Linked DNA regions of Pelodiscus sinensis. The protein of the gene in region 1 interacts with the protein of each later gene in a pairwise test. Links are inferred from orthologs where the notes say so. Each region holds a gene or a part of one and is shown on either strand. Other genes may lie near its edges. The genes, in order: DAXX, ETS1, BTBD6 and PARK7.

Region 1 (7,136 bases):
GTCACATACACAACAAGGGGGGCTCACAGGACAAACACGGTCACAGAGATGGCGGGGGGCCCCAAAGGACACAGACACGTCACACAGACAACAAGGGGGGGCTCACAGGACAAACACTGTCACAGAGATGGCGGGGGGGGCCCAAAGGACACAGACACGGTCACACACACAACAAGGGGGGGCTCACAGGACAAACACGGTCACAGAGATGGCGGGGGGGGGCCCAAAGGACACAGACACGGTCACACAGACAACAAGGGGGGGCTCACAGGACAAACACGGTCACAGAGATGGCGGGGGGGCCCCAAAGGACACAGACACGGTCACACACACAACAAGGGGGGCTCACAGGACAAACACTGTCACAGAGATGGCGGGGGGGCCCCAAAGGACACAGACACGTCACACACACAACAAGGGGGGGCTCACAGGACAAACACTGTCACAGAGATGGCGGGGGGGCCCCAAAGGACACAGACACGTCACACAGACAACAAGGGGGGGCTCACAGGACAAACACGGTCACAGAGATGGCGGGGGGGCCCCAAAGGACACAGACACGTCACACACACAACAAGGGGGGGCTCACAGGACAAACACTGTCACAGAGATGGCGGGGGGGCCCCAAAGGACACAGACACGGTCACACACACAACAAGGGGGGGCTCACAGGACAAACACTGTCACAGAGATGGCGGGGGGGCCCCAAAGGACACAGACACGGTCACACAGACAACAAGGGGGGCTCACAGGACAAACACGGTCACAGAGATGGCGGGGGGGGGCCCAAAGGACACAGACACGTCACACACACAACAAGGGGGGCTCACAGGACAAACACGGTCACAGAGATGGCGGGGGGGGGCCCAAAGGACACAGACACGTCACACAGACAACAAGGGGGGCTCACAGGACAAACACGGTCACAGAGATGGCGGGGGGGGCCAAAGGACACAGACACGGTCACACAGACAACAAGGGGGGGCTCACAGGACAAACACTGTCACAGAGATGGCGGGGGGGGCCAAAGGACACAGACACGGTCACACACACAACAAGGGGGGCTCACAGGACAAACACGGTCACAGAGATGGCGGGGGGGGCCCAAAGGACACAGACACGTCACACAGACAACAAGGGGGGGCTCACAGGACAAACACGGTCACAGAGATGGCGGGGGGCCCCAAAGGACACAGACACGGTCACACAGACAACAAGGGGGGCTCACAGGACAAACACGGTCACAGAGATGGCGGGGGGGGCCAAAGGACACAGACACGGTCACACACACAACAAGGGGGGCTCACAGGACAAACACGGTCACAGAGATGGCGGGGGGGGGCCCAAAGGACACAGACACGTCACACAGACAACAAGGGGGGGCTCACAGGACAAACACGGTCACAGAGATGGCGGGGGGGGTTCCGCACAGACGGCAGGGGTGGGCCCCAAAGGGCACAGACACGGTCACATGGACAGTGGGGGTCCCGCAGGACACAGACATGGTCGGGGAGGCAGTGTCATAGCCCAGGGCAGCAAGGCCATGTCTCAGGGCTCTTTGGGGAGCAGACCCAGCTCCGGAGAGAGGGCTTGGCCCCATCCCATGAGTGGCTGGAGGGACAGGACCTTGCTTCACAGGCCCAGCTCCAGGCACTGGAGAAGAGCCCCCTCCCCACAGCTGCGTCAGCCCTGAAGAGCTGCTCTCAGTCCTCACAGAGGCCACAAGCGATGGACTGCCTGCGTCGTGGGCCCCATGCGCCTCCCTGCCAAGCCCTTTTCTCAAGAGTGAGGAGTGGGCCGGGCTCAGACTCACCGACCAGGCAGGGTCAGTCCAGCAGACTTAGGCCCGACAGACCATACACCCCAAGCCCCCCAGGCTGGCTGGCGAGGAAAATGGGGCACTCTAGGGGCATCAGTTCCCATACAGCCCCAGAGGCGGGGCCTGGCTGGCTGAGCTGGGCAGAGAATATGGAGAAGGGATACACGAGGACATGGCTGAGGAGTTAGGCGATACATGGAGGGTGGGGCCCTGCCAAGGGCTCTCACCTCCTCAAAGAGCCGCTCGTTCTCAGCCTTGAAGCTGCCACCATCCTGCGTCACAGGCTCTGGTCTCTTGTCTGAGGCCCCGCTGGGCTGGGGGGAGGCAGGGGTGGGCTCTGGAGACGTAGCTGGGGGCAGCCCCTCCTCCTCATCATCCAGGACAATGATGTTGCTTGCCACTGCAGTGGCCATGGGCGCAGGTACCTGGCCAAGTTGGGGCTCAGAGCTGCGGGGCAGGCCTGAGGGCTGGGCGCATCCTGGGGGCAGGTATGGGGAGTAACCCCCGGTGCAGGTGGTCTGAGTCACACGCCGCAGTGCCTATGTGGGGAGATGAATTGGTGAGTGCTGGTCCCTACATCTCTTCTTCACCCCATGCGCAGCACCCACCCCCAATGCCAATTCTACTCCCGTGTCCCAGCCAGGAACCAGAGTTTGTCCTAGAGCCACCATCCTGGAATCCAGCGCCTGCCTCTCCCTGCAGCCTCATACACAGCCTCTATCCTGTGCCATCCCAGATCCCAACCTCCCCCTGCCTGCCGAGTACTCTTCCTAAATCACCATCGGCAGACTTTACACCCCCCAGAGGCACAGGCATCGTACCCACCCCGTACAGAGTCCCAGCATGCAGACAAGGGTCCAAGATACCTGGCTTATGGAGGCTCTATCTTCCAAGCACTGCTCCTGGGATCTCTCTGACGACACCAAAGGGTGCCCCTCCCCCCCCCCAGCAATCTCCTGCCTTGGGCCTCCAAACCAAAGGAAAACAGGGGTGGAAGAATAAGGACATACACAATATCTCCCACATGATGTATTATTTTGACAGCTGCAAGGTGGGGGACACACCTCAGAACTGAGCATGGACAAACCATCTGCCCAGGTCAAGAACAGCAAGACAGACTGGATACAGTCTCTCCCCACCCGAGTACCAAGGAAGTGTCTGCTCAGCTCCCCCCAGCCCTGCCCAGCACTGCCCCCAGTCTTGGCACTCACACACTGCCAAGAGGGACAGCTGTGATCCTCAGAACACAACTTCCCCCACACGGCTCCTGGGGCAGAGTTGTCAGCCAACATCCAATTCCGATCAAACACTGGCCCACGCCCAGGGAGACTACTCCCCTGGGTCTGGCCCTCAAGGTACAAACGTGTCCGTTACTGCCAACTGAATGGATCTCCCTTCAAGTCCCAGCCCTTTGGTCCTGGCAGATCTTCCTCCACTACACTGAAGACTCTATTGGCTTGTATGGAGGCACCCAGAGCCTGTTACCAAGACACTCCATTCATGGTCTCCTCCCAAAGCTAAACAGCTGGAACTCCTGGACCCTGGTTTTCCAGCCCTTCCTGTGGCTCCAGTTTTGCCACATCCATCCTGAACTGTGGGCTGCAGAGCTGGGCCCACGATGCTAGCAGCAGTGGCACCAGGGCTGGTGCAGAAGGAAAGTATCCCCTGTGCTCCTACCACACTCCCAGGTTTCCACATCCCAGGGGGCAGCCACCCTAAGAGCAAGTGTCAGGCTAGGAGCTCCAGGCCACTGATTATACACCCCCCCATCCCAGATTGATGGGCTGCCCCCCACTCCTGCCAGGCCCCCACCCCCATTTGCCCTGACCCTCCCTCAGTCCCACCACCATGCTTCCCCTCCCCCCTCTCCTTGCTCTGCCCCCCTCAGCCCCACCCCCCCAGCCCTGATTCCCCTCCTTGCCCCGCCCCTCCCTCAGCCCCACCCCCACGCCAAGCCCCCAGCCCTGATTCCCCTCCTTGCCCCGCCCCTCCCTCAGCCCCACCCCCACGCCAAGCCCCCAGCCCTGATTCCCCTCCTTGCCCCGCCCCTCCCCCACGCCAAGCCCCCAGCCCTGATTCCCCTCCTTGCCCCGCCTCACGCCAAGCCCCCCAGCCCTGATTCCCCTCCCCCACTCCTTGCCCCGCCCCACGCCAAGCCCCCCAGCCCTGATTCCCCTCCCCCACTCCTTGCCCCGCCCCGCCCCACGCCAAGCCCCCCAGCCCTGATTCCCCTCCCCCACTCCTTGCCCCGCCCCGCCCCACGCCAAGCCCCCCAGCCCTGATTCCCCTCCCCCACTCCTTGCCCCGCCCCGCCCCACGCCAAGCCCCCAGCCCTGATTCCCCTCCTTGCCCCGCCCCTCCCCCACGCCAAGCCCCCAGCCCTGATTCCCCTCCTTGCCCCGCCCCGCCCCACGCCCAGCCCCCAGCCCTGATTCCCCTCCTTGCCCCGCCCCGCCCCACGCCAAGCCCCCAGCCCTGATTCCCCTCCCCCACTCCTTGCCCCGCCCCACGCCAAGCCCCCCAGCCCTGATTCCCCTCCCCCACTCCTTGCCCCGCCCCGCGCCAAGCCCCCCAGCCCTGATTCCCCTCCCCCACTCCTTGCCCCGCCCCGCCCCACGCCAAGCCCCCCAGCCCTGCCCCGCGCACCAGGCCCCCCCGCCCCCGCGCGCTCACCCGCCTCTTGGGCTGCTTTCTCCGCCGAAGCCCAGCACCGGAAAAACCGCCTTCCCCTGCCGCCCGGACTGCGCAGCGCCGGAAGTGGCCCTCTCACCACTGGGCGCCACCATTGCGGCGCACGGAGAAGGGTTCCGGATCTCGGGTCCAATCAGAACTGGGCGCTGCTTCCGGTCTGGCGTCACGCCCATGACGTGACGCCGTCCAGTCGTAGTTATCGCCTTCGTCTACGGCCCCTACGCTACACTCCCATGGTAGCGGCCATTTTCCTGTACGGAAAATACCTTCGCTCTCTTACGCCACGTGACCTTATTTCGCCAGCCAGAGGCCTGGAATCAATTAAAGAGCCCACCCCTGCAAGGAGCTGGTTGGCCTGTTCCATTCCATTTATAGGGGTGCTGAGTTATTCTATTCCCTCCGGGCGCCCCTGAAGGAGAGGCCGGGCTGAACCCGAGGGGAAGTCGCACAACACGGACAGCACAATTCTAGCACGCCACCCACTTAGTGCGCACGCGCGGTCTGAAGACAGCCGAGTGACAAGATGGCATCTGACAGTGGCGTTTGCGCATGTGCAGCAGACACCGAGATGGCACCCCGGCTCGGTAGCCTACGGCATGCCCCTTCCACGCATGCGTGGTTGTTCCGTACGCCACAAGTCTTCCCTCGTCGCTGCAGCTACTTCCGGGTTACCGTCAGCAGCCTGTATGCCGTACACGATGGCGGCCCCCAGAGGCCGCGTATGGAAGGGGAAGCGATCATCGATGCGCCCGTAGCAGATCGCTGGCGTGTAAGGGAAGGTGCGGAGAGTGGGTGGCTGGGTGGGCGGCCGGTGGCGTGAACATGAACAGCTGTTATTCCCCCACCCCCATCGTCGCTGGGGGAGGTAGAGAGGGGCTGACCACTGAGGCGCAGGAGGTGGGACAGGAGGCTCATGGTCTAGCTGCCAGCACTTCAGCCAAGGCCCAGCTGGCAACCACATCAGACAACCTTCCCCCCCACACACTGCCCCTCACCCTGTCCCCCACACAGCCAGCAGCTGCAAAACATGTTTTATTTACAAGACACTCCCCCCCACACTCCATACCACTATTAAAAACCAAGAGCATCTCCTCCCCCCCTCCGCTACAGCTTCCGGTGCTCACTTCCTGTTCACATGGGCTGTCCCGATGACACATTCATTCACCTGCAAAGGGAGAGAAGTGAAAGTGGGGGAGGGAACAGGGGATACACCACTGCCAGACAGCAGTGACACTGGGGGGGATGTAACACAAACAACCCCCTTCCCTTTGGTTCAGTTCTCCCCTCCTCTCCCCGCCCCACCACACAAACTCACTTTGCTGGCAAAGCGCAGAGAGTTGAGAGACTCTGAGAAGTTCTCCTCCAGGGGGGAGATGTTCACAAACATCAGCCTGGGGGCATGGGAAAGGCAGAAGTTAGAGCAGAAGCCCATTATCTGCTGTCCCAGCCCTGTTCTTCAACTCCCACCCCATCCTGCCCCATAGCCCTGCCCCTCACCCTATTATTCCCACTGCCCCCCCAATGTTACTCACATCTTAGAGTTTCCCCCCAGCGAGTTCTGCAGCAGGTAGGTGAGCTTACTGTTCCGGTAAGGTATATGGGGCTCCTGCAGAGTGGGAAGAGGCATGTTGGTCCTCTGGCCAGGGAGATTCCATAGCATGTACTTCAGACAGGCCTCCACCTCTCTGTGGCTCCCCTCTCCCAGTCAGGGAGAGAGCAGATACAGGGAGGACCAGTATTTGGATTGTGATGCACGTATGTGGTATGTGTCACTGTCTTCAACACTATGACTACTGGGCCAGGGAGGCTGCTGCTAATGGTGCATGGGATATCTGAGCTGTTACCTTGTTAGAAAGTGCCATGATGACCAATCCCAAGGTAGAGAGGCTAGTGTTGATGGCTTGGGTCTCCTTCAGCCGCTCCCCCTTGGAGAAGGACTTGTCCAGTCGCTCACTGCCTGCCAGATCCACCAGGCTTAGCACCGCTGCAATGAAAGATGAGGGACTGAACATGGGACAGGCGAAAGGGCACTCCATCCAGTAAGGCTGCTGACCCCAAGTGGTCCTGCCAACCAATCTCCTCAAGCTCTGCTTTCAAGTTATTGTTTAGCTGCCCCAGCCTCCTCCTGCCCCACTCACAGCTACTGTGCAAGTCCCGGCTTGGGTTCCAGCCCTCGATGCGTAGCTGGAAAAGGCTGTGGCTGCGGGAGGAGTGGTCATTTAAAGCTGTCTTTGCCACAGAGCGGTTGGCCTTGGCTGTTCGCAGTAGCTTCAGCACCTGGGGGATACAGGATGTGTTTGCAGGGGTCAGAACTGCTCCCAAGCTCTCTGGCTCAAGCATAGCTACATCTTAGCTCACCTCATCCTCGGAGTTCACGGGCACATAGCGCAGGTTGGGCACATGCAGCTCTTCACTGCTCTGGCTGACCCGTTTGATCTCCAGTTCGGCACTCCGCTCCGGCCGTCCCACCAGTAGGTCCCGCAGCGACTCATTATAGATCTCCAAGAAGTTGGCTGTGAAATGGTACTGAGGTGTGGGTGGGAAACAAAATCCAGATCAGTGTCATGAGAACAGGTGTGGAACCAGGGATGCTGCCAGGATTCGGGGGGTAGACACAAAGGCCAGA
Region 2 (7,647 bases), on another chromosome or scaffold:
ATAAACAAAGATTAAATGACTTGACCAAGGCCAAATAGCAATTTAGTGAGTTGTCATGGGTAGAACCTGGTATCTTGACTCCCACTCTCCTATGTCAAACACTACAATATGAAATGATTATGTCAGTTGGTTGACTTCAGCAGGTTTTTCCACCACAGAGAGGTTCCTGAAGGGAAGGTTCATACAATCTTCTCATGCAGAGTAAGGTAGTTATTGCAGTAGGGAGCTACAACTTAAGCAATGTTTGTGGCACCGTAATACCTTGCACTCCCTACAGAACAAATTGGACTCTTAACTTAAGCCAAGATGAGCTAATGCTGGCACACAACCCTTCCCCCACTCCCTGCCCCCATTTTTGGGAAAAGTGCCTTCTGGTTAAGAATTCTCAGATTCTATACCTACCTCATTAGCCTTTGACAAAATTACTTCTCGGCAGCTAATTCCCTAATTTGATTTGAATAGTGGCCCCATTAACAGCACTGCAAGCCAGTTGGTAAACTGACAGCTGGAGGTCATTTCAGGGGCACCCAACGCTAGCCAAACACTTTGCTGATTAGGCAGGCACCTAACCCAAAGAGGTTGCTGCTGTTACATCTTTTGCAGCTGCTATATATGAAATTGCAGGAAGATGCAGAGGGGGCTGGGGCTGGGACAGGGAGAGTGAGGTCATTTGTTATTCCACGCCAGTGTTTCCAGCAATGAAACAGTTGGTTGAAAAAGCATCCTGGGTCAAATCTGCAGCTGGTGTAAATTGACGTAGTTCTTTTGTGGAGCTAGGTTCGTTTTCAGCAGCTGTTGAAATGCTAAGGAAAATGGCCCAGTGGGGAAGGTGGCTATCCTGGAATGTGAAGAACCTATGTCCAGTTTGCTATGCTGCCACAGAGCTGGAGCAAGTCACCTTGAGCCAGATGGTTAGATGTATTGAAATGCCTCAAGGCATTTTGTGGAAATTTAAAAGTGAGACTTTTGAGAGCAATTGACTCCCACGAATGAGGCACTCAGCATCTCTAGGCACTTAAATACATCTAACAGGAGTCTCAAGTGGGAGCAGAAAAAGTCTTTGTTACCTCTGTATTTGTGTAACCATCACCAGGTGGATTTGAACCTAGGACCTCTGAAGCTGAGTATAGAAAACTCTACCCTCTGAGCTAAAAGCCAACTGGTACAACTGCAATATGGTGTCTAGGTCTGATGCAATTTGAGAGGGAGGTTGGTATATTGGGGGTGGGTTCAGAGAAGAACCACCAGAATGATTAAAGGATGGGGAAGAAAACCTCAGCATGTCAGGCTCAAGGTTCTCAGACCATTGAGCTTAACAAAGAGAAAGGTATAGGGGTGACAGTACATAGATGGTAAACTTGGTGACAGTACATGGATGGGAAACAAATATTTAATAATGGGCTCTTCAGTCTAGCAGAGAAAGATACAGCATGAGCCAACAGCTGTAAGCTGAAGCTAGACAAAGACTGATTTTTAAGGGTGAGGCTCAATTGTTTCATTGGTTAATTACAAAGGGTCATAATTGGGTTCTCCATCAGTGACAATATTTAAACCAAGATGGGATGGTTTTCTAAAGGTTCTGCTCTAGGGATCATTTGGGGGAAGTTCTCTGGCCTGGGTTATACCAGAGATCAGATTAGATGATCACAGTGGTCCTTTCTAGCTTTGGAATCTATGAATCTAGCTATATTGTGAGGCTCAAAGGTTGCAAGGTGCCTGTGTAAGTACCAAAGATAAACATCTCGAAGCAATCTGGCCAGGAGAGCTCTGAGCCATAACTGGTTAAACTCTTTCAGCACCAAGACTTTTATAATAAAAATCAAAGCCACTCAGCAATCTGTGCTTGGGCCAGCATTTCCTGTTGTTTAAAGCAAATGTTCCCATGTAACACCAAACTTGCTTTAGTAGAAAGTTTTTTAAAATGACAAGGGGGAGGGGGGAGATCAAAAACATAATAAAATCAGCATGGAATAAATACTCACCAGTAAACCCCTTCTGCAGCCCACCCCCTCTCCCTGAAGGTATCAGATGGCAGAGTCAGAGTCAATGGGACCTTAATAGCAAATTAGTGGCCACATGCAAAGCATCAAATTAAAGACTAATGGAAACATGGAAGACCTGACTCTGCATTTAGCAGAGGCTCAAAGCTCCCAGTGAGTTCCAGAGAGCCAGCGGGAAGGCTGGTTTTGCAAAGGATGTAGGATTCCATCCTGCATGATGTGGAATTGAAATCCTTGCACGGATAAAGTGTTTTCACTGTTCCCAACTTCAGCTGCTTTCAGAAGCAAAGAACCAAAGCTGGTACATGTCTGTGTTACATTTGTTTTTTTCCAGTAATGTAAGGGGGAAAGGAGGGGTACAAGCAATGTTTCCTACAAAGACAGAAATGGCCAAATTATTAGCTGGTGGAATCAGCTTCTCTACAAAAGTCAGTGGAGTTGCACTGATTTACACCAGATGAAAGTTTGGCACTAAACATTTTGCTGATTCGCCCCCTCCACTGTGGAAGAAAACTCTTTAACCCACTGAACAACAACAAAAATACACCAAATTAACAAAAATAATCTTGACTAGTCTGTCTTTCATTGTAACTTGTTCCAATACAGGTTCACTAATCATGCCAAGAGGCAACTTTCCACCCCACACAAGTAAAGCACCAATATTACCTTAACCTCATTTAATACAAAAAACATTTCAAAGGACCCTAAACACACCCAGATGGAATCAGCAAATAGATATATTTCAAATCAGCTAGGTGAAATTGCTAATGAAAAGAGAAGGAGTAAATATCCTAGCAGGTCACCAGCAAAGTAAATAGCCTGAAAATCAACATAAGGTAGAGTTTAGCATAGAGTCCAGAGCTTCACTTACTACTTTACTGAAAGACCAGAGAAAAGAGTTGTTTCCTCCACAGCTTCCCACACTTGTCTTAGGTCTCTTGCCAACTACCTGGTGAAATTCTCTGCACTAGAGCTAAAGAGGATGGAAATACCATAATGTTTCTAGCGGGGCCGCCTATCAAATAGAAAGGGGGTGTGGTCAGGACAGCAAACCCAGGGCGGCTGGAAAGGGCTAGCTTTGAATTAAGCTCTGACACAGCACCAGCAGCAGGGAAGGGAAGCTAGTGAAGCCACTACTGCCAGATGTGACTACCCACAATGTGAGCATGTTAAATTCCCACTTGTGTTCACAAGAGTCGGAGAAAGCCTCTGTCAGAATCTGTCCCAGGGAGAGGGATTGTGATATTTGCCTTCAGTGATTTGTGAAGCCTTTATATAATTTAATAAAACAAATTAGCTGAGGATCTCCAAGCACTTTCCAAGTATTAGTTGGTTAAGTATCACATCGTCACTGGGAAGTATTAATGCGTCCCTCCATGAGGCGGGGGGACTGGCTGAATGTACCTAGCGACACATTTCCACATTGGAATTCTTAAGTGAATTTTCTTCACTTATGTTCCAATACCATGATAACGGGCATTAATATAAGGAATTCAATGTGGACGGAATAGATTTTTACTACAGACAGTTCTTTCCTGTGAGTCTTGCCCCCTTGCTCAGTCTCTAACTGACTGCCAGATTTGAGGTTGGGAAGGAATTTCTCCCCTGCTCAGACCAGCAGAGACCTGGAGTCGGGAGAGGGGAGGGCTTCCTCTGCAGCATGGGGCAAGGGTCACTTGCTGATAAGAACTAGAGTAAATGGTGGATTCTCTGTCACTTGAAGTCTTTACATCACGATTCGAGGATGCCTCTACTGACAGACACGAGTTATATGGGCTTGTTGCAGGAGTGGGCGGGTGATAGGGTTACCAGGTGGCTTCCAAAAAAAATACCAAGCACACTTGATCTCAGATCAAGCCGGTGGCAAGCAGGGCTTGTAGAGGGGGTCGGGGGCAGCGAGGCTGGCCAGGGGAGAACCAACCAGCGGGGAGCAGGGCTGGCGAGAGTGGGGCTGGCTGAAGGGGGAGAAAGCAGGGGAAGAGAATAGGGCTGACCCAGGCGCGCACAGATCCCAGAGCGCTGCCTGTCCTGCGCTCGGTCCCAGCGAAGCACGAGCAAATCCGGCCGTGGGGATTCCATCTCGCCCCGGCCCTGCCCCACCCTCACGTAGTTGTGTATTGCCTGGCTGGTAGACACACTCACACAGGCAGTTCGCAACTACGTACGGATACTGCTAATAATAATGAACTTACCTAAGTAGAAAATACCAGACGTTTTATATGTCCAGTATTTCTCAATTTGTTTCCCAAAGAGAGCCCTCAAATACCGATCTGTCCGGTTCAAAACCGGACATCAGGCAACCCTAGCAGGTGGGGTTCTGTGGCCTGCAATATGCTGGATTTAAGACCAGATGCTCATGATGGTTCCTTCTGGCGTTAAAGTCTATGGGCCTATTATCAGTTTCCTGTGGAAAATCTCTAGACAATTTACTTGCTAGAACAATTTCAGAAGTGGCAAATTTTAATACTCATAGGAAATGAATTTAGAATTTACAGTTAATCATTATCCAGTCAGGAAACTGAAATATGTCATGTGACCCAGGTGTCCAGTCAAAGCAGCCTGAATATTGCATGCTCACGACAAACTGAATGAGATCAAGCTGCAGATCAAGCATTCTTTTGCAGAAATTATTCAGGGAAAAAAGTTTATCTATAGGGCTACGTCTACACTGGCCCCTTTTCCGGAAGGGGCATGTAAATTTCATGAGTCGTAGTAGGGAAATGCGCGGGGGATTTAAATATCCCCCGCGGCATTTAAATAAAAATGTCCGCCGCTTTTTTCCGGCTTTTAAAAAAGCCGGAAAAGAGCGTCTACACTGGCCCCGATCCTCCGGAAAAAGCGCCCTTTTCCGGAGGCTCTTATTCCTTCCTTTGAAGTAGGAATAAGAGCCTCCGGAAAAGGGCGCTTTTTCCGGAGGATCGGGGCCAGTCTAGATGCTCTTTTCCGGCTTTTTTAAAAGCCGGAAAAAAGCGGCGGACATTTTTATTTAAATGCCGTGGGGGATATTTAAATCCCCCGCGCATTTCCCTACTACGACTCATGAAATTTACATGCCCCTTCCGGAAAAGGGGCCAGTGTAGACGTAGCCCAGGGGTGCAGCTACACTGCACAGTAGCTCGAAATAAGAGCTATGCCCAATCTGAGTAAATACCCTCGTGACATGGCACATGTGTGCAGTGTACCTTATTTCAATCTTATTTTGAAATAGCTTATTTCGTAATTTGGTGCTGTCTACACAGCACCAAATTTCAAAATAACCCGCTATTCCAAAAAGTCCCTTACTCCTCGTGGAACAAGGTTTGCAGGGATGTCGGAATAGCGTGCCCATTATATTTCAAAATAACAGGATTTCTGTGATGACACGGGTAGCTATTTCGGCATACTCTGGTATCCTGAAATAACATTGCAATGTAGACGTAGCCTATGTGTTTCATGGCATCCATCACCGTAGCACCTAATCGCTTTCCAGGGAATTAAATATGCAAAGTGAAGTTCCTCGTGGACTTTACGGCATCTCATGCTCTTCTGGAATCCCTGCTTCTAGGAGGGGCTGTTTGTTCAAATACATACAGGAACAGATTTATGAAGATATTTTAGTATCTACAATAGGTACCGAGTAGGGTTTTCTATCTGCATCTTTAGTCACCTAAATACCTTTTAAATCAGGCCCCCATAATTTGTTGATTTTTTTAAACTTATGGGTGAAGTTTCTCTAAATAATGAATAAATTCTAGAAATCTGCTGATCTCAAAAGATTTCCACCCTCTTGGGCCGAGGTCCCATGAAGACAATTGGAACCATGAGATTTCAGGTTTACCAAGAGGAATCAGAAGATCAGCTCCTTTGGGGTTTTAAGCCTCAAATCCAACATCTCACCTAGCCCCTCAAATTCTAAGGGGTTCCATTTTAGCCCTTCCCTGCATTACTGAGAAATATGAGACAACAGGTGTCTTGATGGCACATTATCTGTGGAACTCACAGTCATAAGGAATGCATCATTCTTGCAGCTATTTTAGTCCGGGAAATCATTTACAGGGTTCCATATTCTAAGGAAGGAACCCAGTCTGCTGGACTTTGATAAAAAAAAAGGCTCTTTCAAATCTGAGCCAATAAGAATGGCATATATCCAACAATCAAAGTGTAATCTGGGCATCTCTTCCCGAGGCTGGAGGATGATGGCAGCTGCAAACAAGATGTCTTTAAGGTGTGGGGGAATGAGAGTTTATTTAACTATAGCAATTGATTATTTATATTAACAGTAGCATCTAGAGGCCACAAATGGGAGCATGGTCCTATTGTGCCTGGCATTGTACATATAACTAGGCAGAACCAGTGCCTGTTCTAAAAAGTTTTCAATCTAAATAGACAAAGGGAATATTATAATTCCTTTTTTGCAGGTAGCTTAATGTTAAACACAAACTCATAGAGAAAACCTGACTGAATCTAGCACTGAACCCAACTCCACTAAGTAATAGCCTACTGTTTAGCCACAAGTCCATCTTTCAAAGCAAGAAAAAGGAAGTACAGATAGCCCTCTACCACTGATGGGCTTCAAGGCTCCATCTATTCTGTACGTGGCACAGAGCCATATGCTGTGTCAGCATTTAATGAGCAGTAATCACTAATCAAGATACTAATTCATGACAGTGTCTCAAAAATGAATATCCACATCAATATTCTGCAGAGCCTTTTTTTGGTTTTGCTTAAGGGTTCTTGAGTATTGGGCACAAAAAAAATCTCTATTGGTTTTAGTCAGACATTTGTTTAATTTTTCTAGTACCCATTCCCAAGGCCTTTACGGGTGCGTCTACATAGCACCCTTACCTCGAAATAAGCTACGCAATTTCCTCCCCACAGAGAATGCGATTGGAAGGAGTTCCCCAGAGGAGAATGGGCTGGATCCTCAGCTGGCATGTCCTCCAAGAGAGGCGTGGCTTTGCTGCATGAGGCACCGGCAGCCTGCACGAGAATGAAACAATGCCGTAAGGAGAAGAGGGTAGCAGGCCCTTTGGTCGAGCAGACGCTATGCACCACTGGCTGGCACGATCCCGAAAGTATTCCTGGGCTGTGACAAATAAGCAATAAGCAATAGCTTATTTCAAAATTTGGAGCTGTCTACACAGTGCCAAATTTTGAAATAAAGCGCTATTCTGACAAATCCCTTAACCCTCATGGAATGAGGTTACAGAGATGCCGGAATAGCATGTCTGTTATTTCAAAATATATTTCAAAATCACGGGTGCATTTAAAGATGCGGAATTGCTCTTTCGGGATACTTCTGGTATCCTAAAATAGCCCCAGTGTCTAGACATGTCCTAAATATGCAGGGCCTGATCCTGCAATGCTCTAGGAAGTCAGGAAAATGGAGGGTGCTCAGCACTTCACAGGATCCCAATGATCCTTCTCCCATGTGAAGCCCATTGCCTCCAGGGGGGAGCCAGAAGAAACCCTGAGGGTCTGATTTTGGAAGGTGCTGAGTACTAGCAAAATTCCCTTTGAGTACCCTAGCAGCAGGGATGAATCATCCCTTGACTATGGCTAAAATCCTTCAGGGTACGTCTAGACTGCAGACTTCTTTCAAAAGAAGCTTTTTTGAAAGAGCTCTTCCGAAAAAACGTCTTCCAAAAGAGAGCATCCACACTTCAAA
Region 3 (7,683 bases), on another chromosome or scaffold:
GCTTTTGCAAATGCCTTTGCAGGACTGAGGGATCATTTAGATCCAAACATTTTAACGTTCACTGGTATAACAACATGTATATTAGCTTATGTATCTTTGTACCTAATTGAAAATTACCCTTTCAAACACAATGAGTCTGTTTAAAAACAAAACATTACTACAAAAAATCTACATGTATCTCCAAACGTAACCAGCTACTTTTCCTTAATCAAAATTCTAATCACAGATTCATGCTCCAGCAATGCAAAAAGTTGTTCATCACGCACATTAGAGCCCATGTAAAATGTCATTGACTTCAATGAAGCTAAGATTATTTACACCTAATGAGTATCTGCTCTTCAATGTATAATTTCAAATTTTAGTATTATCAGCAGCAGTCTAATAAAACAGCAAACCGCTGTCTGTCTGGGTAGTTGCTTTACCTAACCTAAACCAATTTTTAGTTTATCAAACAATATTTTAAAAGCTATGCTCTATGTATGTTTACTCTCTTTTTCTGGGGGGTATCAATTCCTCATTTCCTGCCAGCCTCTTATCACTTGACCCAAAATCTATGGGATATGGTAAATTGTTAACTGTTACACTCAATTCAATTTCCTTAGATGATTCCCCATTTGGGCACTTGAACTGATGAAGATGGTATTTCTGCTGAAAAAAAATTCAATTGTCTTACAGATTTGCATTAATCAAACCAGTTTCAATTTTACCATTAAGGTCAAATAATGGATACCCTATTGCAATTTCCATTTACCAGGATTGCACTACATACTGACAGACTTTCAGACTCTCGATTTAAAACACTGCATATTTTACTTTAACGCAAAAACATCCAGACAAATATTTTTCCCCAAAGAAAAAGTTTACAAAATGCAATTACCTAGTAAACATGATTATAAAAAATAAAACAAAATAGAAATATTAACTCCTTAAAGGCAATTAGTAAGGAAACCAAGTCATTCCCACTGTTCTCCAGTCATCATCCATATCACATGTAATATCCTGGACTTCTAATTGTATGTATTTTAAGGTACCTATCACCAAAATCTGAAAGAACACGCTAGGGAAATCAACTTTCAAATCCTTCAATTAAAATAAAACAACCATCATGATAAAGGTGTTTCAAAACTATTGTCTCATTTCTTTAAAAAAAAAAATCTATAGTTAACAAAAAACTAAAGAATTGTAAGTCAAACAATACAAAATAACTCTTTAAAGTAAAAACAAATTTCCCTAGTTTTTTAAATTTCCAATTTCCCTTTTACAATATTCCTAAACAACAAACATATTATGATAATGAGCTGGCAACTTCAAAATCTTCCCAGATTTACTTGGCAAGGTTTATACAAAAGGGGTCAACTTCAGTGGGAGCTGGGCCACTCATCACCTCAAAGAATCAAAGCTTCAAATAAGGGGAGGATTTTTTTTTATTTTAAATTCTTCAATGCACTTTTTCTCTATAATTTCTGTATTGTAGCTTTTAAGGAAATTATGTTGGCATTGATGCCCACAGATTATTTGATAAACTAGTTTACGCTAGATATTATTAATTTAAATCTTTAAAACTAGGAAAACAATTGGGATCTTGAAAAGTAGCAAATGCAAATTACGTAAGCAAAAATAAAAATTGAACAGAAAAGCTCTCCACCAACTGGCTGACCATAAATGGCTGCAATGCAATACTTGGAGTATCAAAATTAAACTAAGTCTAGGGCTTTTCCTTATTTTCTCAGCCTCTTAATTTTCACATATTGCGCAGGACACAGCACACCAACACCACTTGGGGGATGTTCCACTCGCCAAGGTCCAGCCAGGTGAGGAGGCAATGGAGCCCCCCACCTTTGAGATGCACGAAGGCGCCCTCCACCACCATGTGAACTCAGCTGAGCCTAGTGTTACACTGTTCCGTGGCAGGCTCCAGGTGTCCAGTGCAGGGCTTCATAAGCCATGGGAGCAGAGGGTAGGCAGTGTCCCCGACTATGCACATAGACATGTCCACATCCCCCATCCTGATGGTGCAGTCAGGGGAAAAAGTAATGGCGTGCATCTTTTGGAACAGGCTGGATTTCCTAAAGACATGGGCATCGTGCTTTCCCCAACCATCCAACATTAATGTCCGTGAAGCAACCCTGGTGGTCCACGACAGCCTGCAGGACCATAGAAATGTATCCCTTGTGGTTAATGTAGTCGGGTGCCAGGAGGCATACCTGGGAGGTCGACAAATGCCTTTGATGTCGACCGCGGAGCGTCCAGACTTCCGCGCTGAGCCGACAAACAGCTGATCAGCTCAGCGCAGCAGCCATGTAAATTTAAATGAAGCAGCAATTATTTAAATCGCCGCTTCATTTTTCTATACCGGGTAGTCTAATATACATGTCTCTGTCGCCAGAGGCATGTTGTCTAGACATACCCCAGGAGACACATTGTGAAATCCAAGAGCTGGTGACTGCTTTCCAGCAGGTTCCGCTCCATGGCAGAAGTGCTGTAGTGTCCACAAGAGCAACCAGAGTAGGCAGTGGAACGGGTTTGCTGTCCCTCAAGGAGGTAGGCAAAAGAGAGGAGCCTGGGACACAGCTATGGGGGGGGGGGGGGGGTGAGGAGAGAGAGAGGCACAAGCCTCAGCTAACCTCAAGCACAAGCCTCAGCTAACCTCAAGAAGCAGACACAGGAAGTGTCCTGATGCCCTGCCCACAGCGATTCCAGGGGACTTTAAATGCAATTGAGGCTCCAATGGGTATGAAAGCTCTACTTGGAAATAGCTCAGCATTATTTCAACAGGCATTTGCTGTGTAGACACACTATTTCGAAATAAGCTATTTCAGAGTTTTTCTTCTGAAATAGCTTATTCCAAAATAAGCATGCAGTGTAGATGTACCCTATACAGAACCCTGTGGACTTCAGGGGGAATTCCATGCATTTGCAGGGCCATTCTCAGTGCAGCAGCTTGAAGGATCAGGGCAAAAGCTAACAGTTTTGTTTATTTATGCTGCTAATCAGTGTGCACTCAGAAAGAACTTCATACACTTGAGAAAGTTCCCCCCACACCCTTCCTTCCTAGCCTACCTTTATAGGACACCTCAGCTTTCAAAATTATTAGGATGAAAAAATGCAAGACTCGTTTGATCATACAAAACAGAGTGTATAAAGGTATGTGTGGCCTGTGAACAATTGCTGCAATACCCTGTGCTTCTGGATGTTAATAACATAACACTTCCAGAAATCGCTTGTTTCTCTACAATCCGACACCAGGGCAAAACCCACCGAAAAAAAGGATAAAACTCAAACAGACACTCTCAGGAGCCGGAGTGTCAGCCTAGGAGCAGAAGGCCTGTAGCTGAGGAAACAACCAACAGGTTGAGAATTTAACCTAAAGCAAACTGTCCACCAGTTGCCTTTCCTACTGCAACCCCACTCTTACATACTTGGGGAGTATGCACGATACCTTAGCTTCCACTAATCCGAATTTAGCCCAAAGGTCTGCTACAGCGCTGAATATCCCTCTTTGCTTTTACCCCCGGCGCAGCTTAATGTCTTGTCTGTACTCCTGTTCCTCCTAAAAGTTCAAACGCTGGAGGCAGAACTGGCCTGACAGCAAGCAGCTTTGCGCGAAAGGCGGCTGCAGAAGGCCTCGGGGCGCCCTCGCTCGGTCCGGCTGAGAACTACTGGCTGCCCAGCAACAGGATCTCAGACCCAGCCCCCTCCCGGTTTCCAACCATTTCCATAATCATGGCTTCTGACTCCATGGAGCAGCCTGCCGTGCAAACTTTCCCAGCTCGGTGTGGGCGGAGGGACGCCTGGTGAGGGCAGCAGGTACAGTAACTCTGACTTTTTGTGTGGTCTGGGACCGGCTGGGTCCCTGCAAGATCCCCATCCTCTCCCTTGGCAGCGGCGGCAGCAGCTGAGTTCCAAACTGCAGTGCTGCTGTGCCTCTGCGTGGCATTTCTGCCTGGATTGCTAGGGCTCCCACTCTGCAACATGTCAGACTTGCTCTGCTGCTGCAAGTAACGCCCGGGGTCCGAAAGAAAACAAAAGCCCCGCAGGCTCTTGTGTACACGGGCTGGGGGTGGGGAGAGGGAGAGGGAGAGGGAAGCGGCTTTCAGGAAGAAAAGTCGCTCCGATCGGGAGCTCTGCCCCATCTGTTTACTGCCTTCCTGATTCACCTTGGCTTAGCATCAAAGCCCGAGACCAGCCAAGCTGAGAGCTGCTCTCGGGAGGGGGAGGCGCACCGGGGAAGACGCTGCAGCGGGGAGGACAGGGGGGGCTTTCGGGGAAGTTTAACGCAGACTGCGAATCTCCCGTGGGTCTGGGTTTACTTTTGCAGAGGGCTGGAGGGAAGTTGGCGGAGTAGGTCCCCACTGCACCAGGAAGGGAGGGGGCTAGTGGAAAGCGGGGGGGGGGGGTGAATGTTGGGGCATCGCTGCGTTTTGCTCCATTGCAGCCTTTCCTGGGCGGTACATTTTGGCTCCCTGTAATTTTCCCAAGCGGCTGGGGCTCGGGAGGGAGCGAGGGGGGCGAGCTGGTGGGTGAGTAGGAGGGAACGGAGAAGAATGACATATTGTCTGGGAAGGGAGGGAGCCCGGCCTCCCCGGGGCCCGGGCCCCGCCGCTCCCCATTGGAGCAGGCGGCGTGACGCGCGGGGCCGCGGCTGGCTATTTGAGGCAGGAGGCGGGGGGAAGCAGGCACACGCACACACACACACCCCGAGGAGTCGCGCACACGCGTGCTGACACGGGCGCCCAGCCCCGCTGCTGGCTGAAGCTGCCGGGCTGCAGAACCGCAGCCGCGCAGGAAGGGAGGGAGGCGGCAGCGCCTGCTACTCGCCGGGGAGACGTGCCGATCGGCCCTGGCCTTTCAGACGCATCCTCCGGCCACGGTCGCTGCGCTGGGCACGGACCCTCACCCCGGGGGCATCTAAGCAGAACTGAACCTGGGAAAGTTTTGTTCCACTAGCAGATCGGCGGGATTTACCGCATCTGCAGCCCCTCGTCTGAGGAGGAATTACAAGATGCGTACTGGGAACTGAAGGCAGCGTTTGTTCGGCCCTTGTTTAAATACCGTGGCTGGGAAACTCTTGAACTTGCTGGTCTCTCCAGATCTTTAACCCTTGCACGGGAAAAGGATTCGAGTTGCCTCTCAAAGAGGTATCAGTGATTGGCAGCAGCTCAGCGCTGGCTGGGTTTTAACTCTTGGAAGATTTCTGTATTGACTCTGCTGCTTCTCCTTTTCGGTAAACTCTTTGCCTGCATGATCCCTGCTGGGGTCTTCCTTTGCAATCCTGCCTTTGATCTTTGAGGCTGGGACCTTCTTCAAGCAAAGGTGAGCACTGGCTCGGATTCATTAGGGCACCGTATTGCCTCACAGACAAGGTGCTTTGGGCTTTTGAGCAAAAGCCGCAGTTTAAAATCATAAGTATCCAGGTAAAGGGACCTGACTTTAGAAAAGCTGTTCCCTTGCTCATGCCACTGCCCCATGACTGCCTCAATGGCAGGATCATGAAGTGTTTGACTTTCTTTCTTCTGCTTCCAGAGACCTTAAAGAAGTCCAAAAAGAGTGTGAGGTCAAACAGCAAGGTGCCAGCATGCTATGAGATAGTGCCCTTGTCCCTGAAGAAGAAGATGGCTGCAGAGCTTTACCCTGCCAGCACGAACACCAATATTGCAAACAGTAATAACGCTGCTGCTGCCACTGTCGCTGCTGCTGCCAACAGCAAGAAAAACGCCTTTCAGCTTCAGCAGAGTGCCCAGCCTCCTCCACCACCGCAACTGCAAAACCTTAACAATAATAATTTGGAGAGTTCCAACTGGCAGTCCTTCCACCCCACTCTGCGGGAGAGGTAAGAGCCAGACCAGCCAGAGTGCACAGAGCCTGCCTGAGCAGCCCTTGCTCTTCACCCCATCCCCCTCCCAGCCTGCAAGAGAACTTTGGGGAGTTAGTCCCATGGCAATTCCCCCTCCCTCTGGCAAAGGCACAGGATGGGTTGTTTAGCAACAAGCAGCCCTGTCCCCATGTCTCTTCTTCCTCCCCCCCATTGTTGGGTGAAGTCAGGTTTCTGAAGCCAAAAAACTGAATTGTAGCCTCACAGCCACAACACACATACACCCTAAGGTGGAGCAAGTTCAAGTATTGCAATTGCACACTGGCCACCTTCTGCCCTCAAGTCTCACTTGTGAAATCTTGCACAGTGAGAGAAGGTATCCCACTGTGTCCCATTATACCAGCTGTAGCAAGGGGATGGAGTAGAGGGACTGAAAAAAGGGATAGATTTATGTAGCATTAGCTCAGTCCGTGGCATCAGGTAATACAATTGGCAAATCTAATTTGGTTTCTCCCTTCCTGTTACTTTCAGGAACGCACTGATGTTCAATAACGAACTCATGGCTGATGTGCATTTTATCGTAGGTCCCTTGGGGGCCTCAAAGAAAGTTCCAGCCCATAAGGTTTGTGCATCTGATTTTTTTCTCCCCCCCCCCCCCCCCCCCTCCTCCTGCTAGGGCAGTGGAGTTAATACAAATATTATTAGACAAGTTAACTCAAATTATTCCTTTATACCTTAATTCTAATGGGACAATTTAAAGGATTTCTGTTTGAACTGAAGCTTTTAAGTTTCCCTCAGTACCTCTTCTGCCTGTTAGTATGAGATTACTACAGCTATATGCTACATTTTGTTTTTGTTTTTTAACAGTATGTTTTGGCAGTCGGTAGCTCTGTCTTCTATGCTATGTTTTATGGGGATCTTGCAGAGGTCAGATCTGAAATCCATATACCAGATGTGGAACCTGCAGCCTTTCTAATCTTATTAAAGTAAGTGGTCATTACAAGTCTACAAATTATACAGAGACTAAAAGTGGTTTATTTAAAAAAAAAATCTTTAAAATCTTCTAAACAGCCTTTAGGAATGTGCAGGTATTACACTTTATTAAATGTGCTGATAAATGTCAAATTATGGACATTACTACTTGTCAGGACAATTGTAGCTTAATCTCTCACAACCTATGTCGCTTTTAAAAATACTTTTTTTTTTCCTGTTTAGGTATATGTATAGTGATGAAATTGACCTGGAAGCTGACACAGTGCTTGCTACCTTGTATGCTGCCAAGAAGTATATCGTCCCAGCCTTAGCAAAGGCTTGCGTCAATTTTCTGGAGACTAGCTTAGAGGCTAAAAATGCTTGTGTTCTGCTGTCTCAGAGCAGACTCTTTGAGGAGCCAGAATTGACCCAGCGCTGCTGGGAAGTAATTGATGCTCAAGCAGAAATGGCATTGAAGTCAGAAGGCTTCTGTGAAATTGATCAACAAACACTTGAGATCATTGTAACCAGGGAAGCACTAAATACTAAGGAGGTGGTAGTTTTTGAGGCTGTTCTTAATTGGGCAGAGGCTGAATGCAAAAGACAAGGGCTACCAATTACACCAAGGAACAAGAGGAATGTATTAGGAAAAGCTTTATATTTGGTGCGAATTCCCACAATGACTTTGGAGGAGTTTGCCAATGGAGCTGCTCAATCTGATATCCTTACCCTTGAGGAAACGCATAATATATTCTTATGGTATACAGCTTCAAATAAACCCAAGCTAGACTTTCCACTGACAAAAAGGAAAGGACTTGTACCTCAAAGATGCCATCGATTTCAATCATCTGCATATCGTAGTAACCAATGGAGGTACAGAGGTCGCTGTGACAGTATCC
Region 4 (7,314 bases), on another chromosome or scaffold:
CAGGATCTACTGGGGACTTCCCTGCTGACCCCAGACTCTGTGCGGTGCTGCCGCTTTGAAACGTTGTAAGGAACCTGACACTGAATGCCCTGCAGTGTTTCAAAGCGGAAGCACTGCACAGAGCCAGGGTCAGCTGGGGAGTCTCCAGCTGATCCCAGGCTCCACACAACACTACCACTTTGAAATGCCACGAGGAGTCTGAGGCCAGACTCCCCATGGTGTTTCAAAGCGGCAGAGCCACATGAAGCCTGGGGCCAGCTGGGGACTCCCCCCCCCCCACTCTCATCCCAGGCTCCACACGGCGCTGCCTCTTTGAAACACCATGTGCAGCCTGGGGACACCCCAGCCTGCCCTAGGCTGCATGCAGCTTTTCAAAGTGGCAGCGTCACGTGGAACCTGAGGTCTGGTCCCAGGCTTCAAGTTGCACTGCTTCTTTGAAGTGCCCCCTCTTCTCCCCCCCTTTTGCTACCTCTATCTGATAGAGGCAGCGGGGGGAGGGGAGGCAAAGGAAGGAGTGACTAGTCGACTATCCTGTCAACTATCTGATAAGCAAATGTTTATCAGATAGGGATGTGAAGGACTAGTTGACTAATTAGAACATGAGCAAAGACCTTTCCAGGGACTCATAACAGTGAAAGTTATGATCATGAGATTAATATCGCATTATTGTTCACTGAGCTGGGTAGTTGGGCAATCGAGCCATCGGACTTTGGAACTTGGAGCAGACTTTTTTTAGCCTGACCATTAAGAGATTGGTATTCCCAGTTATGGATATCTTTACATAATGAAAATGCTTTTACATTTGAAAAACCCCACATACTGTGGCTGTGTCTACACTGGGCCACTTATTCCAGAAAAGCAGCCGCTTGAATTTCCAGAAAAGCAGCGACGATTTACTGTAAGAAATCAGCTGCTTTTCCGGAAAAACTATGCTGCTCCCACTCGGGCAAAAGTCCTTTTTCCGGAAAACTGTTCCGGAAAAGGGCCACTGTAGACAGCACAGTAGGTTTTTCCACAAAAAAGCCCCGATCGCGAAAATGACGATCGGGGCTTTTTTCCGGAAAAGCGCGTCTACATTTTCCGGAAAAGCGTCCGTGGCCAAAGGGCTTTTCTGGAAAAGCATCCTGCCAATGTAGACGCTCTTTTTCCGGAAATACTTATAACGGAAAACTGTTCCGTTTTAAGCATTTCCGGAAAAAGGTGCCAGTGTAGACACAGCCTGTCAGAACAATTGTCTTGTGGCAACTTTATGGCAAAGAGATACAGAAGTTGTTATATCAGAAGACATGCACAATTTTAAAGCCATTTAGGCTGGTTTGCTATAACGATGTAGAGTGGTGAACATCTCTTACCAGCATTTCAATGCTGGTGCACTACATTGCTACAGTTATACATCAATACATGAGAAAGATAGATTATTTAGCTCTTATCTCAGATTTCTGAATCACCCATACAATTAAAATTTCAATTGGTTAAAGACTGTATGGATTCCTGGTTTCTAGTTTTCTAAGGGTGGTGATGTAAGGTCAGAGTTAATTATTTTTTTAAATCCTTATTATTTGGTTGATGGATAGAAGTGATTTTATTTGTGCATTAACTTTGAAGTTTCAGAAACCTTCCTTTCCATAGTTTGGCTCAATTTAGCATGGACATGACATTTTCCCATTTTTTTCCTCCTTTCCTTTCCCATCCCCTCTCTTTCTCTGCTATTTATTTGGAAACTGGACCCCTTAAACTCCATTCATCTGAAGAAGTGGGTTGTGTTAGAGAAGCCACAGGTGACCCAGGAGCAGATGAGATAAATGGAATCACTTTATTGCCCAAACACATGTTTACCTCAGACATTCAACACAACATCTGAGCTGCAACAGTTTTTGGCACCCATTACACCCTTTTAACTATTTTAGTATGTTAATTCACACATCTATCACTACTTTCCCTAAAACCTTAATAGTAATGTTAATGCCTACAAAAAAGAATATTAATAAGCAGGTGATGAATATTATAATACCTGCCCCTGATTACTATTTCCAGAATTTCTAATTAAATCAACACTTTCCTATGCTACAAACTTTCCAAATCAATAGGCTACAGCGATTACAAGAGATGTAGCTCTGAAAATCTCTTATATAGCACCAGTGAGGGTAAGTAAGTAAAAGGCACAACAAAGAGTAATTGCATACTTATTGATTTTTCTCAGATACAAAATGAGCATGTTTATAAATCAGGAAGCATAAGGGGACTCTAAATCTATCTTTCCAGACTGTAGAAACAAAGGGAAAAAACATGTTCAAGGGTAATGCTGTGGCTGAAGTCCTTAATTACCTGCCTACAGCCATCCTAGACCCCTATGGGTTAATGTAGCACTGTAAAGACTAACAAGATGGTTTATTAGGTGACGAGCTTTCGTGGGCCAGACCCACTTCCTCAGATCAAGTAGTGGAAGAAAATTGGCCTGACCATATATACCAAAGGGTACAATTAAAAAAATGAACACACATGAAAAGGAATGTGACTTGTCCTTTTCATGTGTGTTCATTTTTTAATTGTATCCTTTGGTGTATATGGCTGTGACTACTTTCTTCCACTATTTGCTCTGAGGAAGTGGGTCTGGCCCACGAAAGCTCATCACCTAATAAACCATCGTGTTAGTCTTTACAGTGCTGCATTGTCCAGCTGCCCCAGCCTGACACGGCTCCGCTTCTCTCCCTACGGGTTACCCAGCCCAAGGGCCGGCCCCCGCGGCGGGGTCACGCTGCTGGCTGTGGCTCTGCAGCGGTAACTCGCGGGATTAACGGAATGGGGAAGTAGGAGAGGCTGTCCGGTTGCAACACTCCGCATCATGCGTGCGCACGTGACCCCGCAGCGCTGACTGACCGGAGATTCCGGAGGGAGCGACCCTGCCCGGGTCGGCGCGCGGGCTCCTTGTCCCGGGGGCGGGGTGCCCCAAGCGGTTAGTCTCTGACGGGCCCCGTGTTTCCGAGCTGGCGGCAGGACCGCGCAGGCCGCCGCCGAGGGGGGAGGGGCGCTCGGCCCGCCGCAGTCCCGGGCTGCTGCCAGCGAGGAGCGCGCGCACGTCAGGCCGCGGGGCGGCTCGCGCCCTTCACGCGGCTGATAACGGCCGGCCGCTGCCAGGAAGCGCGTGACCTTTGCAGGAGAGGGGGCGCCGACGGGCCCGCGGCAGGGCATGGAGGGGAGGGGGCGATAGTGACGTCAGCAGCGTGCTCGAGTCACACCACCTCCGCAGCAGCCACGCCCCCTCACGCAGTCAGGCGGGGGGAGGGGGACTGCTCGGCCCGCCCGGGGAATCCTCAGGGGCTGCAGTGGGCGGGGCTTCCGCGAGCCGCTACAGGGGCCGGCTCCGCCCCCGTCCATGGGGGCTGGCACCACAGAGTCCAGTGTGCCCGCAATAGGGGACAGCGCTATCCTCATCCATAGGGACCAGTGTGCCCTCAATAGGGGACAGCGCTGCCCCATCCATAGGGCCCCGCATACCCTCAATAGGGGACAGCGCTATCCTCATCCATAGGGCCCCGCATGCCCTCAATAGGGGACAGCGCTGCCCCATCCATAGGGCCCCGCATGCCCTCAATAGGGGACAGCGCTGCCCCATCCATAGGGACCAGTGTGCCCGCAATAGGGGACAGCGCTATCCTCATCCATAGGGCCCCGCATACCCTCAATAGGGGACAGCACTATCCTCATCCATAGGGCCCCGCATGCCCTCAATAGGGGACAGCGCTGCCCCATCCATAGGGCCCCGCATGCCCTCAATAGGGGACAGCGCTGCCCCATCCATAGGGCCCCGCATACCCTCAATAGGGGACAGCGCTGCCCCATCCATAGGGCCCCGCATACCCTCAATAGGGGACAGCACTATCCTCATCCATAGGGCCCCGCATACCCTCAATAGGGGACAGCGCTATCCTCATCCATAGGGCCCCGCATGCCCTCAATAGGGGACAGCGCTGCCCCATCCATAGGGCCCCGCATACCCTCAGGTGGGGACAGCGCTGCCCCATCCATAGGGCCCCGCATACCCTCAATAGGGGACAGCGCTATCCTCATCCATAAGGACCAGTGTGCCCGCAATAGGGGACAGCGCTGCCCCATCCATAGGGGCCCGCATACCCTCAGGTGGGGACAGCGCTGCCCCATCCATAGGGCCCCGCATACCCTCAATAGGGGACAGCGCTATCCTCATCCATAAGGACCAGTGTGCCCGCAACAGGGGACAGCGCTGCCCCATCCATAGGGCCCCGCATACCCTCAGGTGGGGACAGCGCTATCCTCATCCATAAGGACCAGTGTGCCCTCAATAGGGGACAGTGCTGCCCCATCCATAGGGGCCCCGCATACCCTCAGGTGGGGACAGCACTATCCTCATCCATAAGGACCAGTGTGCCCTCAATAGGGGACAGTGCTGCCCCATCCATAGGGGCCCCGCATACCCTCAGGTGGGGACAGCACTATCCTCATCCATAAGGACCAGTGTGCCCGCAACAGGGGACAGCGCTGCCCCATCCATAGGGGCCCCGCATACCCTCAGGTGGGGACAGTGCTATCCTCATCCATAAGAACCAGTGTGCCCTCAGTAGGGGACAGCGCTGCCCCATCCATAGGGCCCCGCATACCCTCAGGTGGGGACAGCACTATCCTCATCCATAAGGACCAGTGTGCCCGCAACAGGGGATAGCGCTGCCCCATCCATAGGGTACTGGTAGGGTACCGACAGTCAAGGTCAGTATTACCTCCAATCCATAGGAGGCTGTCATGCCATTAATGGGGGGTCAATACTATCCCCAATCCATAGGGAACCAATATGCATTGCCCCTACATTAGCATCAGTGGCAATGGTCAGCACTCACCCTTTGCCAAATCCATAAGAACCTGGTCCATACTGCTACTGAACTGGCATCAGTATGGATCAGCACTACCTCCCAATCTATAAGAGATAGATATGCATTGCCTCCATGTTGGCTTCAGTAGCACTGGTCAGCACTAACCCCTACAGAATCAATAGATTCCACACAGCCCTCAAGTTAGCATCATTATACAGCACCAGCACCCCACTGCCCCCAGTTGGCATCAATAGGGTCACAGCTAATCCCTGATATCTGCAACCCACTCCAGCACAGGATTAATAGGGGACAGAATTAACCTTCCACAGAGCAATTAATATAGGGTAGCACTAACCCTCCCTTCCAGAGAAGGTATTAATACTACTCCAGGAACCTGATGATGATAATGTTTATTCTGTTCTGAAGCAGACTTTTTCCTTTCCTCAGTTAAATTATTTCTGGAAGCCTTCCATTATTACCCTGTAACATCTAAATTGGTCACTACTCTAAAATCATTAATTTAACTCAGAAGAAACAGCAGCTGAAAACAAACTGTGTCCACATTTTTGTGTGTATGGTCAAGTGCTTGTTTCATGAGAGAGAAGTCTTGTTATATGAATTTTTTTTAATTTATCTTGGAAATTCTAAGGAGCATCCCTTTGTTCACTTCCTTAGAAGAAGAGTAAACCTGCTAGAAAATTCCCTATAAAATCAATTACTTGAAAATTTTCCTTTATGTTAGTTTATATTTTTATAGCACTTTCCACTTTTCGTTTCAGTTGGCTAAGGCTTGGGACTTTCAAAATGCAGGACCAAGTTCTTACATTACATTGACTGAGGCAAGATAGGTGAAATCTTTTATTGAACCAACCCCAATTGACTGAAAATCAGGGCAGAATTTAGTCTAAGGAGCAATAAGTAATTGCAAAGTATTATTGTTCGGAACTAATTCTGACACAGCATAGTGGGTGTAAATTACTATTAATATTCACATTAAACTCATGTAATCCCAAACATGATGAACAATGATGGTTCTGTAATAATTATCTTCAGTTATGTACATATAATTAGTAAAATTAAGTTTATTCGATTTACTTTTGCTGTCACAATGCACTTAAGTCTGTCCTGCTGTTGCATAGAAAAATGTGCTAAACCTAGTGATGGGAAATCAGCTGTTTCATTTCTGTATGAAGGGTCACACTGCAGCCCACAAAATGTCATTCAGAAATTGAGATCAGTCGTAGTTAAATTTATCATAGTTCTGACGTCTTCATTTTTCTTCGTTTGAGAACAGGTTAAAATTCATGATGATAATTTTAATGTTATGGGGGCTGTTAACAACCTATTAAGTGATTAACACTCCCACCGCTGAATTTCTGTGATGCAGTTCATGGGATTTCCCAGTCAACTGTCAAACACTCATAGCAAAACACTGCCCTGTATGAGCTACAAGTGGTGTGTACTGTCTCAAACCTTGAGGAGTACTGTGGCACCTTAGAGACTAACAGATTTATTAGGGCATAAGCTTTTGTGGGTAAAACCCACTTCATCAGATGAGTTGGAGTGGAAATAATAGAAGCAGGGGTATATGTAAGAACAACAAAAGAAGTTACTTGTCAAATGTATGACCAATGTTCATAAGGATTTATGTCAGGGTGGGTGTATCTCATTTGCAGCATTTTATGTGGAGATGTGAATATCAAGAGGGGAAATTGCCTTTGAAGTGTGTTAACCAGTTAAGATCCTTATTCAATTCCAAATTGATTGTATTGAACTTGCAAATGAAATCCAGTTGAGCAGTCTCCCTTTTTAATTGGGTTTTAAAGTCTTTTTTGTAGAAGGATGGCTGCTTTTAAATCAATTATTGAATGAGACACATCCACCTTCCTCTTTATTTCTATTCCAATTCATCTGATGAAGTGGGTTTTACCTATGAAAGCTTATGCACTAATAAATCTGTTATGGTGTGTCTACACAGCAGCGCTAACTCGAAATAAGTTATGCAATTTGAGCTACACAAATTGCATAGCTTATTTCGAGCTTATTTCAAGATAGTGCCAATTTTGAAATAGACAGCTATTCTGACAAGTCCCTTAATCCTCCTAGAACGAGGCTTACCGGTACATCGGAATAGCAAGCCCGTTGTTTCGATTGCATTTTGAAATAATGGGCATTCTGTTAAGACACAGAAAATGCTATTTTGGGATACCGGACATATCCCAAAATAGTGTTGCTGTCTAGACGTACCCTTGGTCTCTAAGGTGCCACAGGACTCCTCATTGTTTTTGCAAATACAGATTAATATGGCTACCCCTCTGGGACTTTGGGTACGTCTAGACTACATGCCTCTGTCGCCAGAGGCATGTAGTCTAGATGTAACCTTTGTATCATACCTTGCTCTTCATGCTTGGAGGCTATTTTATTTAGGCAGTAACTTACATATAATGCTGATTGGCAGGGCATACATGCATCC

The links.
Region 2: the proteins of DAXX (region 1) and ETS1 interact in binary tests that used the Homo sapiens proteins (3 or more experiments, as listed by UniProt). The link is inferred for Pelodiscus sinensis from reciprocal best matches to the Homo sapiens genes DAXX and ETS1.
Region 3: the proteins of DAXX (region 1) and BTBD6 interact in a two-hybrid assay, tested with the Homo sapiens proteins (2 studies listed by BioGRID and IntAct). The link is inferred for Pelodiscus sinensis from reciprocal best matches to the Homo sapiens genes DAXX and BTBD6.
Region 4: the proteins of DAXX (region 1) and PARK7 interact in binary tests that used the Homo sapiens proteins (3 or more experiments, as listed by UniProt). The link is inferred for Pelodiscus sinensis from reciprocal best matches to the Homo sapiens genes DAXX and PARK7.

Annotation. Positions count from the first base shown.
Region 1 is NW_027465970.1:5,379-12,514, reverse strand, and holds the start of DAXX (death domain-associated protein 6), read right to left. Parts: upstream 3,003-7,136; 5' UTR 2,899-3,002; coding exon 2,686-2,898; intron 2,359-2,685; coding exon 2,047-2,358; intron 1-2,046. Other genes in the region: kinesin-like protein KIFC1, read right to left, coding at 5,631-5,675, 5,826-5,901, 6,043-6,116, 6,355-6,494, 6,649-6,787, 6,869-7,036. UniProt on the Homo sapiens protein: Transcription corepressor known to repress transcriptional potential of several sumoylated transcription factors. Down-regulates basal and activated transcription.
Region 2 is NC_134736.1:10,752,170-10,759,816, forward strand, and holds the start of ETS1 (protein C-ets-1), read right to left. Parts: upstream 3,001-7,647; 5' UTR 2,872-3,000; intron 1-2,871. UniProt on the Homo sapiens protein: Transcription factor. Directly controls the expression of cytokine and chemokine genes in a wide variety of different cellular contexts. May control the differentiation, survival and proliferation of lymphoid cells.
Region 3 is NC_134714.1:16,046,059-16,053,741, reverse strand, and holds the start of BTBD6 (BTB/POZ domain-containing protein 6), read left to right. Parts: upstream 1-4,682; 5' UTR 4,683-5,453; coding exon 5,454-5,830; intron 5,831-6,343; coding exon 6,344-6,434; intron 6,435-6,679; coding exon 6,680-6,798; intron 6,799-7,027; coding exon 7,028-7,683. UniProt on the Homo sapiens protein: Adapter protein for the cul3 E3 ubiquitin-protein ligase complex. Involved in late neuronal development and muscle formation.
Region 4 is NC_134733.1:25,745,476-25,752,789, reverse strand, and holds the start of PARK7 (Parkinson disease protein 7), read right to left. Parts: upstream 3,018-7,314; 5' UTR 2,878-3,017; exon of another isoform or gene 2,814-2,877; intron 1-2,813. UniProt on the Homo sapiens protein: Multifunctional protein with controversial molecular function which plays an important role in cell protection against oxidative stress and cell death acting as oxidative stress sensor and redox-sensitive chaperone and protease.